Linked DNA regions of Arabidopsis thaliana. The protein of the gene in region 1 purifies or fractionates together with the protein of each later gene. This does not show direct contact. Each region holds a gene or a part of one and is shown on either strand. Other genes may lie near its edges.

Evidence for each region. The genes of interacting proteins can lie anywhere in the genome.
Region 2: the proteins of PFD6 (region 1) and PFD1 fractionate together in Arabidopsis thaliana (co-fractionation; one large-scale study listed by BioGRID). This does not show direct contact.

Annotation. Positions count from the first base shown.
Region 1 is NC_003070.9:10,505,647-10,509,695, forward strand, and holds PFD6 (prefoldin 6), read left to right. Parts: upstream 1-1,886; 5' UTR 1,887-2,019; coding exon 2,020-2,095; intron 2,096-2,189; coding exon 2,190-2,260; intron 2,261-2,379; coding exon 2,380-2,504; intron 2,505-2,741; coding exon 2,742-2,802; intron 2,803-3,118; coding exon 3,119-3,175; 3' UTR 3,176-3,505; downstream 3,506-4,049. Other genes in the region: AT1G29980 (choice-of-anchor C domain protein, putative (Protein of unknown function, DUF642)), read right to left, coding at 234-348; MNS3 (alpha-mannosidase 3), read right to left, coding at 3,886-4,049. UniProt on the Arabidopsis thaliana protein: Binds specifically to cytosolic chaperonin (c-CPN) and transfers target proteins to it. Binds to nascent polypeptide chain and promotes folding in an environment in which there are many competing pathways for nonnative proteins.
Region 2 is NC_003071.7:3,043,669-3,047,440, reverse strand, and holds PFD1 (PREFOLDIN 1), read right to left. Parts: upstream 1,919-3,772; 5' UTR 1,798-1,918; coding exon 1,774-1,797; intron 1,665-1,773; coding exon 1,611-1,664; intron 1,400-1,610; coding exon 1,294-1,399; coding exon of another isoform or gene 1,290-1,293; intron 1,215-1,289; coding exon 1,208-1,214; intron 1,128-1,207; coding exon 1,043-1,127; intron 946-1,042; coding exon 835-945; 3' UTR 537-834; downstream 1-536. UniProt on the Arabidopsis thaliana protein: Binds specifically to cytosolic chaperonin (c-CPN) and transfers target proteins to it. Binds to nascent polypeptide chain and promotes folding in an environment in which there are many competing pathways for nonnative proteins.

The DNA of each region.
Region 1 (4,049 bases):
ATTGAGGAAAACCCCCAAAAATCTAAACACTCAAAATCCAGATAAAAACTAAATCAATCATCTGAAACTAAATTATTTTGGTCCTCTGTTCTTGAAACAGAGATGGGTTGGATTCAAGAAACCAAATCTTGATAACACAAGATTCTTATTTAAATGGCATTTTTGAGAAAAACCAATCACGCAGAGACCAGAAAAGAACAAAGAAATTTGATGAAGGTAAGTGAAAAGCGTACCATCCTCAACCGCCGGAGACTTGTCGTCAGCGACGGCGACTAAGACGGCAACGGAGACACTGAGCAGAAACAAGAAAATGGAACTCCATTTGCATCTATTGTTGCTCGGAACCATATCTCTCCTCTACTTCTTCTTCGTCTTCCTCAAGATATCTAAATGCTCTCTTTATCTCTCTTCTCTCTCTCTGTAAGTGTGAAATGTGAAAGTGTCTTTCTGTATGTTCTTTTCGGGCAGCGAGCAAAGACAGGGAAGGTTAGTGTCCTTTTATCCAAGATTCCTCACTCCTTGTCTTTTTTTTTCTTCTTTTTTTTTAACTCTCAACATTTAATTTCCACTATATTTAAAGCTCTTTACAGACAAAACTCCATGCACGCATAACAAAAAAAAAGTAAAAGAAATGTTTCTACTGTAACATAGTATTTAATTGTTCTAATTAGTAGAGCCACGATGGAATAAGTTTTAGTATTGACCTAGGTTCTCTCTTTTTTTTTCCCTCTCATTGGATCTGTGCTAGATGCGAGACTAAAGTGGCAACTTTACTTTTGATCCAACTCTATTTCTTTTAGGCTGTGGAGTGAATTATTAGTTTGACAACAACAAAAATGTCTTTGTAAAATCTTCGGCTTTTCACTATTATAGATTTGAAAAAATGTTGTTTAATACGTGAACTTTCAAAATTGGCCATTTAATACGTGAACTTTATATATGGCAAATTAATACATACAAAAATCGTTGACTGACAATTTTACATAAACTTAATCGTTGATCAAGCCAAAATCTACACGACGTTATCTGACATTAACAGACCGATAACAGTCGTTAACTAATCTTCGTTAGTTTCTAATACGACGTTGTTTCGAGTATCGCGAAAACGGAAAATGCCATTTAATACTCCAATTTTCAAATTGTGGTCATTTTATATATCAACTTCACATGTGGCCATTTTATATATGAACTAAACGTTGACCAATAGTTTAAAATATGAGAATGCGTTGATTAGACCAAAAAGACATACCGCTATCTAGACCTAGATATTCAGATTTTTGTTTGGATTCGGTTTGGATTTATTCAAATACCTAGGCCTAGATAGCGGTATGTCTCTTTGGCCTGGTTAACACATTCTCATTTTTTAAACTGTTGGTCAACGTTTAGTTCATGTATAAAATGGCCATATGTGAAGTTGATGTATAAAATGACCATAATTTGAAAGTTGGAGTATTAAATGGCATTTTTCCCGTTTTTGCGATAATCGAAATGACGTCGTATTGGAAACTAACAGAGATTAGTTAACGGCTGTTATCGGTCTGTTAATGTCAGATAACGTCGTGTAGATTTTGGCCTGATCAACGATTAAGTTTGTGTAAAATGGCCAGTCAACGATTTTTGTATGTATTAATTTACCATATATAAAGTTCACGTATTAAATGACCATTTTTTTAAAGTTCACGTATTAAACGACATTTTTCCCGTTATAGATTGAGGTATAAAGGGACGAAAAGTAAAAATTTGTGTTTATGAGAGTTATGTTCAGTGTTGATATGATCAGTGAACTAGAAGATATTACGTCACCAAGTGATAAATAGTGTTTTTCTTTTGTATGTAACTAAAACTAGGCTTGATAATAGAAGAAAAGCATATTGGGCCGTTAAAAAGTCCAAGTTAATACGGTTTTGGGCCTTACTAAAACACGGGGGCTTTAACGGAGTTTTGTTACTGCTCCTTGGTGGATCTGCGAGTTTTCAATAAACCACCGGAGTGAGGAAGAAGCAGACGACGACGACGAAGATGAGTTCATCGACTGTTCGTGATTTGCAGAGAGACCTAGAAAACAAGGCTAATGATCTCGGCAAAATCCAGAAAGGCAAGTTTCGTAGATTCTCGTAACTTTTCTCGATTTGATTCTTTTCTTGTTTCTGGAGGCGGGAAACCCTACTTTTCTGTGTTCATATTTTCAGATATCGGGAAGAATCATCAGCTGAGAAAGAAGTATACGATCCAACTCGGTGAGAATGAGCTCGTGCTTAAGGTATATGTTCATGTCTCACTGTTTAATCTGAGTTTTGTGGCTACTTCAACTGAAAAGAGAAGTTTATTTCGATTGTTGATTGGCTTTAATCTTTTTATGTGTCTGTCTTGTATCTACAGGAGTTAGATTTGCTGGAAGAAGATGCTAACGTCTACAAATTGATTGGTCCGGTGTTAGTGAAGCAGGATTTGGCTGAAGCTAATGCAAATGTTCGTAAACGAATTGAGTACATCTCTGCTGAATTGTGAGTTTCTTTTCTTTTAATGTGATTGAAGCAAATGCAGTTCGTTGAGAAACCTATTTTGGGATTGTTATTGTAAATAAAGAACCTTTCTTTCTTTCTAGGCTAATAGTGAGTGATTGCTGTTCATAAGTAGCTAAAATGTTTTCACTTCTAGCTATGTAACAACTATGAGAGATGTTGATAAAGTGTTTGAGCTATAGTGTTGTGACCTCAAGAATATTGTTGTATCCTTTGCAGGAAACGGCTTGATGCAATTCTTCAAGATATGGAAGAAAAACAAAACAACAAGAGAGAAACGGTAAGACATCTGCCTCTCATGCATTTATATACTTCTTTGAGTGCATTGAATTAGTGATACTAGGACTGCTACACCAATAATAGTCCAAACATTGATGCTCAGTATACTAAGCTCTAAAAAGATACTTTGGTAGCTATTGTTGTCAGTTTAAGCCTGCCCGGAAAGTAAATACTTGAACTTTGTTATCTCCTCTGTCTCGTTGAGTGGCCTACTGGCCTTGGCGCAATATGAGGATTTGCTGTTTCTGCACTTTCTTGGCTTTTAAATGGTGATAATGATCCTATGGTTTCAATTTATGGAATCAAAATATTTGCAGATAATGAAGTTACAACAAAGGCTACAAACTATCCAGGCAGGAAAAGCAAAGGCTTGATTGAGCTACTCAGTTGCAACCACACTTGTTAAACCCTTTCCACTGTGCTCGGCCTTGTCTCAATGGTGTCATATTCAGTTACTGAGGGTTCTTGTGGTTTCAGTTTATTGGGTGATTGATGTCTCTTTGTGTCACTAATCTTTTTTTGTTGACAACTAGACTTAAGTGTGTAACTTATACATGATCTTGTCGCCCTTTATGAAGTTATGAGTTTGGAGATTTACAAAAAAATATTGTGTGTGTGCGCCTAATTTGGTCTTCATACATACTTCAAGTCGATTATGTTCTATGCAACACCTTGCAGATTACAAAGAGCTAAGATGACCAAATGATCTCAAATTTAAAGGTTTATTAGTCATATCAGAATGATCTTATCTTGCAGTGTAAATGGTATGTATAAAAAACTAAAACCATAATTCATCTCCATGTCAATTGTGTCTGATTACATTTTGCCAAGTGAGAGCTTAACGAAAAGAGAGAATATTAGTCTCAAGAAACCTACTACTACAAGCAAAAACTTTTACGAGTTAAGTTATAATTTGGATGCAGAAGCTTATCTTACATTGAAAGTTATGACTTTTTTTCCTCAACGAACTAACTTCTTCTCCAATTGGCAGTGTACTATACATCACTTTCTCCATACCCTCTCTTAAGTTTGTGTATGTGTGTGTGTGTGTGTATTGTCTGGAGTAGTCTTCAAAACTAAGCCTTCAGGTGTTTCTTCTTATTGGTAATGGATGAGCTTCAGTGTTGAAAACAAACTTATCCAATGGTATCACTGAGTCATCTCCAAAGAGCAAGTATAAGTACTTCAATGTTTCACCAAGGAAAAATGTCTCCATCTTATCTCTTCTATGAGGAGGCACTTCTGTTA
Region 2 (3,772 bases), on another chromosome or scaffold:
TTGCTCACATGCTATTGATGATTGATCAACTTGAGTTTTAACTATTGTTTCACTGAATTCATAATATATATTACATCTACTTGTGTTTAGATTGTGAGGTTAAATTTATATATATTCACAATGTTAGATGCAATCTCGAGTTGTAGTCTTTTTTTTTTTTTTTTTTTGTCAAAAGTGTGTTTTATTTAGTATAGAAAGCCAAAGTAACATGCCAATATTTTACAAACACTAAACCAAGGAAGCCAAACAAAAGAAAACAAAGTCCAATAAGAAAGCTGAAGGAAAAGCTTAAATGCATTATATTAGACATGTGGCAAGCAGGAAGCAGGTTAGAAGACACATGCAAAGTTGAAGATGTGAGAGTCTCCGTTGATCAGAAAGCTTCAATTCCGGCCAAGATCGCCGGAAAATTATTCAATCGACTTATCCTAATCTTCCCTCAAGAAACAAAGCGAATTCCATTTTAGCAACAAATACCCGAAATATGAGCCGAATCACACCGAAAACAGAGCCAGACCACACCGGAAACAAAGTCTTCTCATCCGGACAACGAAAGCCGGTAAGCATACCGAACGGTGGAACAAGGATTGAGTTTTCTCTCCGAAGAATCATAGAGAGACCTCATCCTTGTTAAAATTTTTGTTTTCGAGTTAGATAGATCATGCATTTGTTGTCGCATAAGAAATCTCAGTTTTTTGCAATATCATAGACCAGAGGCTTTAAAACAATACTGATCGAACAAAAACTTTTGAATGTTACAACTTTTAACTAGAACATGTTATGGTTTCAATCCCAAAAGCTCTCCAAACTCAAAGGTTTGGGATAATACAAAAGTTACATAGACATGGACATAATCTGTTGAGCAATGCCCGGTTCTTGCTGCAACAGCTCCCTCAAGTTGTTCTCAACCTCTGCTACCTGCTTCTCCAAGTATTCCTTGGATGTCTAAAAATCATCCCGAAAACAAAACATGTTTGATAACCAGCATCTCAATGATCTCCTAATAACCCAATAAGATGTTGAAAGAGGGAATGATTGTTACCTGTAGAGAAGCAACGGCAGCTTCACTGTCCTTGAGTTTTTGCTCTTGTTCACCCTCCAGCACTGTCTTGGGCTCTAGAACAAACCTGTTCACCATACAAACTATAATCAGCCTTCAAAATTCTCTAAAGGCCTCTAGTTGGACTGACTAATAACCACCACTCACGTTCTTCCTGAAAACAAGAATAAAACACAAATTAGACCAAAACTTTACTAGTCCTTGTCTCAAAACCAGAGAATTGAATCACTTGCCTATTGACTTGTAGGTGTTTGTCTCTTCAGGCAATGGCCTCAGCTCCTCCAAGGTTAAGAAAGCTCGCTTTCTATCTCCCTCTTTGTTGCGCATCTGATTCTGCACCTATATATAAAACCCATCCACATTCACATTTCAGTTTTTCAGCACCACATGACAATAACCTAGGAAAGCCAATTTTGTCATTACACAACATGAAAGAAGGGATTATAAAACCAAACACAGTTCAAGAACTAACAAATTACAAGTAAACCCTTATACAATGTGTCACGTTTGATTCTAAAACTTGATAAATACAAAGAAAGTGAGGATTCACCTGTTTGAGCTTCCCAGTGAGTTCAATCATGCTAGCTTGAATCTCCATAAAAGCCTGTTGTAACTATACACATTACAATTCCATTTTCTGCAACATCTTACTGGGGAAAGAAGAATATTCCACTAGAAAATTGAGCTGATTTAAGAGAGAGAGAGGTACTCACAGCTCTGGTTGCTTCGTCCGCCATGTCTGCAGATCTTGATCTTTGAACGAACCCCGACGTGCTAGAGAAGGGTCTTTCGTTTTAGGGTCAAAAAGTTAGAACTACCCGGGTCGGGTTTCAGACGGCTTAGCCCGGTTTATCAAGGCTTTATTGGGTCAAATCGGCCCATTTATAATTAACGATGATTTTATACTTTTAAAAAAATATGTGTTTGCATTGGAACAAACAATTCTACCCAATAACACAATTTAATTTACCCATTTGGTTTTAGATTGTACCATGATTTTGTAAATCAAAGACTCAAAGTCATTGTCTTTTTTTTCTTGTATAATCAACCACCCAAACCATTGTTTGTATCGTAACCAATTCAGCTAACACCACCAAATTATTTTACCATATTATATTTTAAGGGTGATTTGCATTATCATACACTTTCGAAAACATGTTGAGCAAAAGTTTTGCCGACAGGCACACTTCTGATCAATTATAAGGGTGATCAATTATAAGGGGGAAAAAGACTTAATTGACCCTATTAATTAAATCAAGTAAAATCGGTTATTTAGGGTAAGAGTTTGGGGAAACCGGTTTATTTTGTTTTTGCAAACCGGAGAAAGCATGGAACGAATAACTATGTCATCGAAGTTTGAATGACGATGAACAAAAGAAAGAGAAGCTCTGAAGTTTGAAGCAACTAACAAAGATATCATAACGATGGTAAGAAAAAATGGATTGGTAACAATAGTAGAAAATATTCGCTGATATATTATTGACTGTCTAAGATAAAAAATTTATATATTGCAGGGAACTGAGGATGGCTTCTGTTATGTAATATGCGGGGATTGGAATTGCGAGGAGGATGAGAAGTGGTATGTTGAGGTTAATAAGGTAATGAAATCTCGAATTGTGCCTGTATATAAAGGTATTAAGCTATCAGAATTCGTGGAAGCCATTAGAGTAGAATTTGGAATTTCAACGAGTACGAAGGTTGATTTAAGCTTCTGTACCCCAAATATAAGAGATTTTACCACCGGAGATAAAACACCACCGGTCGTCGTGACGACTGATGTGGGGCTAAGTTATTTTATGAAGATATTGGAAGCAAATGTTGGAACCAACATGTTTGTAAAGTTTGGAACATCTTGTAAAAGAGTTTTAAACAATTCTGAGGTTGACGGTGGGCTAGTGAAGACCAGTTCAGTTAAGGAAGATGACGGAAGAGGGAATAAGTCGAAACGTTTATGTGGATCAGAAGATAGTATATCGAAGGTCGGGTTGAAAGAATTTTTGCTGTCCTCCGAAGATGAAGAATTTGTTGCAGAACTTGAAACTATAGAAAGAGTTATAGGTTGTGAACGAGGTCCTCTTGTTAGTGAAATTTTATCTGAAGATCTTGATGATGAAGATCTAGTGGATGAAGGAAGCGAAGATCTTACTTGGGATGAGATTATAGAAGTAAAACCCCAATCTTATGATGTGGAGTTTTGGAGCCCATTCTTGGATGAGGACATGGGTGGCTCAAATGCATTGGATATAATATGTGTCGGGGAAGAAGATGCTGATGTTAGAATGGGATTTGCGTCACCAACAGTAGACACAGAATTGGTGGCCAGTGTGGAAGGTGCAGGTTCGAACATGGAAATTGATGATTTGATAACGTCTTCGATTAAGCATCCAACTGATTTACTTGCAAACAGCAGTGGAACGGGAAAAGTTGTTAACAATAGAACAGGTGATTGTAATACAAATGAAACTGCAAGAGAAAATAGGAAGCTGTCGGATGTGGACGATGAAGAGTTTGATATTCCTCCTCTGTTTGATGACACGGAGTATGAAGCTGCCATAATGCCGGATATAGATAGGGCTGACGGTGAAGATGTATATAAAGGAAAAGTTTATGCTAGCAAGTCGGATTGCCAAATTGGATTAGCTATATATGCTATTAGGCATATGTTTCACTTCAAACAAACACGCACAAAACTTGATTCATTTGTTTTAAACT